Drosophila melanogaster: one gene and its partner. The protein of the gene in region 1 interacts with the protein of each later gene in a pairwise test. Each region holds a gene or a part of one and is shown on either strand. Other genes may lie near its edges.

Region 1 (3,450 bases):
CTTCTCCTCCAGGTGCTTCACCAGGCAACTCTTGCAAACTGTAATTGCAACAAACACTGACGTTATTGGGCAGGTAGTGTTCCATGCCGGACCAACTCACATGTGTGCAGACACTCCGTCACCGTGGTGGCATCGATGAAGTAGCCGCCGCAGATCTTGCACGTTATGTGCGGATTGATCGTCTTCAGCTTCACGCGCCGCTCCATGCTGGCCCCCCGATTGTGTGCTGAACTACGTTACTATATCCTATTTATCCCTATTTTGCAGCGGACCGATGGCTTGCCTTGCCTTTTCGATTTCCCACTCCCGCGCGGAAAACGCTCAAAACGGCGGATGCGCTCGCTTCCGATTAGTGGGAATGCTCGCGCACGCTTGTACAGGCACTCGGCATTGTGGCCAGCGGATTTTGGTCGCGATTTGTTTCCTTCTTGGTTGTAATTTGAAACAAATAAAATAGAAATCACGACTAAATAAATTGTGTGTACGTGTGAGCTAGCGATGGGCGATAGTTGCGTACCTGCTACTAGTCGCGATTATTTCACCGTGACAAGTCACCGCTTTGGCGGCATGTCACGACTCCATATTTTTCAAGTACAAAATTGACGTAGCACAGCAAATTTTAAACAATATGAATCAAGCATACCAATTGCATACTACTTTTATGAAATCCTGCAGCATACTTCCAAAATATTTATAAATAGCGCTCATTGTAACCCAGTGATTTCTTCACACCTTGTGTCACAGCCATCGTAGCCCAATGCATGCATGTGTGGGTGAATCGTGTCACCATATCGATACCGTGACTTTGTCCACCGCGCCGGGCCGGTCCCAACTATCGTATGTGCGTGGGTGGCCGGAGTCTGGCAACGCCCTTTGCTAATTTCAGGGTGGTCACACAATGCAAGGTGGTATATATGGAAATTAACAATTTTTTAAAATATATTGTGAAAACTAGTTTACATATTTTAAAGAGGTAATAAAACATTTGTTTTTAGAAGCATAACAAAATAGCTTATATAAGAAACCGTAATTTCGTCATTAAATATAATCTGTTACCTTTCGGTTTAGAAATTTTGAAATAATTTAAAAATAAGCCAATTCAAATTATTTTCATGTAATTTTTCAAAAACCGAAGGAATTCAACAAATCTGAACGCAAATATACGTTTATATGTATGGTGTCTATGTGCATAGTGGGGGGATTTATTTGTGTTCAGTTTGATTGTGTCGACAATTTTGAAGTTTTGTTTTCGGTTCCCTAATTTAATATGTACTTGGCGTATTGCGGCTCATACTTGTCGATGTAGTGCTGGACAAACCGACACCTTATAATAATGAAGTGCCCATTCAACAGTGCGTAGTCCAGTGCCGACTTGGCCAGTAGCTTCCCAATGCCATGTCCGCCCAGTTCCTCCGGGACGTTGGTGCTGTTGATGGTCATCACACCGTCCCTGATGGAGTATACCAATACAGCCCGGAGCTCGCCAATGTCGGTGTAGAACCGACCTCTCTTATGCCGGACAACAATGTGCGTACCAAAACATCTTTCCTGCGAATTTAGGTTTGGAACCTTTAAAATTTGACCAGTTAGGGTGTGGTTACTTGTGGGGATGGTGTAATCTCTCGAGCACAAGGAATACGTTCTTCGGCCACCTTGCAGAATCAGAATTGGAAGCAATTTGGAAAGCATTTCTTAATTTTTGTGAGTAGTTTCAGGAATTCGGGCCGAATAATCATACTTCACATCATAGTGACGATTTTCGAGTGACCAGCTTAAATTATTTAGTAAATAGTTCACACTAGCAACGCACCTGCGAGGTGAATTGATAAAGGATTGGGGATTAATCGCGGTGCATTTTTCCAGCTTATCTACAGCTACATAAGTATAATATCTAAATCAGTTCAAACATTGAAGATTATTTCCGAATCCCTTCTTACTGGCAATGTGACCGTACTCGCGCTTACTTATTTTGCTACCAGCCATCAGCTGTTGCTCGGCTATTGTTTTTGTTTTTGTTACTTGGATTGCTGGAGGCGTAGTTTTCTGCTTTTGATAATTACTCATAGCAAAAGCAGAGAAATGGCGCTGGTGGATCACGATTCCTGGGACATCGAGTACGAGGGCTGCGAGCGACTGCGGCATCAGCTGCTGGTATACCTCAACCAGCGGCAGCAGCTCAATCCGAGGACGAGCCAGTTCGTCCAACTGACAAGCAGCATTCAGACGGGAATAGAGCAGCTGGCCAAGGACATGAAGCACCTCAAGGTGGTGCTGGACAACGCCATCACCTGGGAGACGAGCCCGGAGGAGGAGCTGCAACAGCGGCGCATCGACTGGGATAGACTTACTTCGCAGCTGCGCGAGATCCGCGAGAAGTTCGCAAACAGTAGCCGCTCCAATGTCCCGGCCGCATCCGGTTCTGCTTGGCAGGATCAGGATCTCGGCCCAGGTCACAGCAATTCCTCGCGGAATACCGCCTTGGATGTGGAGGCTCTGAAGCAGAAAAAGACCGAGATGCTGGCGCAGCAGAACGAAGGACTCGAGGTTCTATCAGCCACATTGTCCAGACAGCGCCAACTGGCCACACAGCTGGGCAACGAGGTGGAGGACCAGAACAGTGGGTATTCCCCAGTCCCTGCACTACCAATGCTAATCCCTACCTCCTTGTAGATATCCTTGACAACTTGGCCAATGCCATGGACCGTGTGGAAACGGGTGTGCAGCGGGAAACACAGAGCATTGGACAGGTTAACCGGCGGGACAGTACCTGGGGCTACTGGCTCGTCATCATAGCCTTGTTCGTCGCCATCATTGTCGTGGTCTTCGTCTAGCTCCCACGATCCATTCCAGTTGTTATACTACTTTATACTATGACCTGCGTGGAATGTCTATCTGTTAACCCAAAGTTTGATTATTTATGTATACACCAATTAAAGTAGGATTTATAAGTATTTACGTTCGCGGATCGATCCCCTTGATCAGGTTTATTTAGTCGTTACATTACGGTTAACAGATGTACAGGTGTTTATATACTTAAGCCAAATCGGAGGCGTAGGGCACGTTCGCCAGGTGCCCGATGGCGCCGACGGCCAGCTTGGAGCTGCCCACCTTCTTGGCCGCCTCCTGGACCTGCGACTGCGAGATGCCATCGATTGCGCCAAGCAGGGCGTCCGCCTCCAGCACGTTCCGGGTGAGCGCCGCCTGGCGACCGATCTCCTTAATTAGACCACCGTCCGACGAGTAGCGCGAGATGATGCGCGCCTTCAGAAGAGCCTTGCCTCTGGCCACATCCTTATCAGACACCGAAGCCGACTTCAGGCCGCGCACCAGGAACTCCACGGTCTTGCCAATGTCCTTGGAGTCGGCGGAGACCACAAAACCGAACAGACCAGCGTCCGAGTAGCTGGCATTCACAGCCTTGACAGAGGCTCCGACGCCGCCGGCGCAGTT
Region 2 (2,896 bases), on another chromosome or scaffold:
AGTGTTTGCCGACCACTTCCCCGATAAGCCATACATATAGAGTTACGTAACTGGAGATCGGCGACTCGAGTGGCCGGGCTTTGGCTTTATATAGCTAATTAACTGGACGATCGACCAGGAGCACTTGTGTGCAACTCGGCAAAATACTATACTTCAGATGTGAAATTGCTAGATTTCTAGAATCGATCAGATTTTCCCCATTCATAAACTGGGTCTGCGACTGTGGCTAATCAGCGCAATACTGATTGATCGATTGGAAGTGCCATTGGACAATTTATAGAGCGATCCATAAATCATAATCGACTGGTATTTATTGTGCGCTATTCGCAACTACTCGAGCCCAGCTTTTAGGGTTTCCGTTCCAGCTGGAGATCTTTGTGGGGACGCAAGGCTTCTGGAAACCGAGACCCCGAGAAAAAGATCACATGATAGAACCCCCCCATATGATTATGATGATTGCATAAAACTCGAAAACTCGCGACTTTGCAAAGAGAGCGCGACTCACAGATACTCTGGAGAGTATTATATTCACATGACAAGGGTTCGACTAACACACACACACACTGCGAACGTAGTAGGTGCGTACCTGAGTATCTCAGAGATACTCGGGGCTTACGAAAGAGATAGCGCTACGCGTATCTGCCGCTCTGACTTTAGCTGCGACTTCTGGCAGGTGTTTGCACAATGGGTCCCATGACAGGTGTGCCCCGCAGCCCCCAGTAAGCTCACTTTTCCGACCAGTAGCTGTCAGCAGCCAGCATCACGTGCCAAAGTGCATTCAAATTGGGCTTAATTGCACATACTCCCTGCTGCCAAAGCACGTGCTTTGGATGGCTAGTTTACAGGGGATATGGGATATATACGGGTGGATAACCCGTGGCACAGCTTTTACACCTCGAACCCGCCGGGTTTTTCCAGTTGCTTCGAGTTTTTTCGAGTTTTTCGCTTACCTTCACAGCTCCGAAAACGCTTTTTATGTCAAAGACACACCAGATTCGATTCCCCGCGAGTGCGAGCGATAAATTTAGAACTTGTTTGTTGCCGAGCGAGAGTATCTTTATTCGAATCTGAATCTGAATGGAGCGCAGCACACGTCTGCTCACCGCCAGCGATCGACTGCGTTTAAATTTGGCACTCGCTGCCGCGACTTCGGTTCGAAAATCTCGCGATCGCCTCGAAATGCCTCGCACTCTCTGTTACTCAGCACACACACCCTGTGAATTCAGGCGGCTCTCTCGGCGCGGGCATGCCAACTATGTATGATCGGTGACCGTTATCGCAAATCAGAAATCGACAAATACCCGTACTAAAGTCAAAATCCTCGAGTGCTACATGTGTCTACCAAAAAAATGGTCAGTTTCCAAAAACCTAATCACTCTTAGGATCACCCAATTAATCACCATTAATATGTGATATTTTTGCAGTAACTAGATGTGCTTGTTGATAGTGAGGAAGCCAATCTCAAAAAAAAACCAATTGAACTAACACTTCTTACAATTTAAACTTTTAATTAGAATTTAGAATATAAAATAATATTAAGCTAATTTGGTAACAGTTTCATTTTAAATTTCAACTGTTTTAAGTGCTGTAAAGTGCATAAAGTGTTAACAGGTGGCTCCACGCACAACGCGTTAGTACCTTACCAAATAGCGTTTTCACTGCACCGCTCACCACGGCCACACTCTGCCTTTGTTTTGTTTTGATATTCCCACTGCATCGCATTTAATTTATTAAAAGCTGTTACCAAATTATGTCCTACGCCGGCTATAGCCAGCTGCCCAGCGGCAGCGACCAGGAGCGCAGGCAGGCGCAGCTCGCGGCCAGCACCTACGACGTGCTACAGCGGACGACGGACAGTATCCAGCGATCCAACCAGATTGCCATCGAAACGGAGAACATGGGGGCGGAGGTAATTACCCAGATAGTAGCCATTAACAGGGCTAACTAATGCTCGCTTACGCATCAACAGGTACTCGGCGAACTGGGCGAGCAGAGGGAGTCGCTGCTACGCACCACGCGCCGCCTGGAGGACGCCGATCAGGATCTGTCCAAATCGAGGGTCATCATTCGGAAGTTGAGCAGGGAGGTGCTCTACAACAAGATCATCCTAATCCTGATTATCATTCTGGAGGTGGGCATACTCGTCGGCTTGCTGGTGCTGAAGTTCGCTCACCTGTGAGCCAATGCCATTCTATTCCAAAGTCGTAACCACCAAACAGGCGATGGACTATATATACCTATTAATCGTTACGAATTCTTTGTCCTAGTTAATAAGCTTATAAATGTATATACTCCACTAAAATGCACTTCCAATTCAAAAAGGTCAGTTTTAGGATATACCCAGCGATGAATCGGGTGGTTGATTATGTTTATTCATGTTGGCTAAAGCGTTAATGCCTTAGACGTCTATAATATGTATTATGGTAGTAAAACACAGATAAAATCGGGTCTGGACATCGGAAGCTCTGCACTCCGAAGAGTTTAGCCCAGTCCCAACGCATATACATACGTATGCTATAACAATGATAATATGTAGTTCGTGCAGCACGCTATGCCACGACTATTTGGCAAAAAGCAACGTTAATTACATTCAGTGGGCGACAACGAGATAGTAGAACATCCTGAACAATGTCTGCATAATACTTGATCTATGATAAACGGTTACATATATGTAAGTATGTGGGCATCGCTTTGGGGATGCTTCTTTGTTCGAGAGATGTTTGGGATTTCGCAGAGCTGCGCCTCCTCATTCCTTTGGTGCAGCAGCTCTCCGCTTCAGTTGCCTTCAATTGTCCTTCGGAAGAACGATGGACCAGCCGAAAACGCGGCGATCGAAGCCGCAGGAGAAGAGATCGCAGTCCAGCAGCGGCTCCTCCGCCCACGCTACAGACGACAC

The links.
Region 2: the proteins of Syx8 (region 1) and Vti1b interact in a two-hybrid assay, tested with the Drosophila melanogaster proteins (one large-scale study listed by BioGRID).

Annotation. Positions count from the first base shown.
Region 1 is NT_037436.4:16,585,608-16,589,057, reverse strand, and holds Syx8 (syntaxin 8), read left to right. Parts: upstream 1-2,000; 5' UTR 2,001-2,079; coding exon 2,080-2,617; intron 2,618-2,670; coding exon 2,671-2,831; 3' UTR 2,832-2,950; downstream 2,951-3,450. Other genes in the region: l(3)73Ah (lethal (3) 73Ah), read right to left, coding at 1-38, 101-206; CG32163 (uncharacterized protein), read right to left, coding at 1,258-1,689; UQCR-C2 (Ubiquinol-cytochrome c reductase core protein 2), read right to left, coding at 3,034-3,450.
Region 2 is NT_033777.3:18,398,042-18,400,937, forward strand, and holds Vti1b (vesicle transport through interaction with t-SNAREs 1b), read left to right. Parts: upstream 1-1,667; 5' UTR 1,668-1,750; coding exon 1,751-1,909; intron 1,910-1,969; coding exon 1,970-2,179; 3' UTR 2,180-2,298; downstream 2,299-2,896. Other genes in the region: Wdr37 (WD repeat domain 37), read right to left, coding at 2,786-2,896.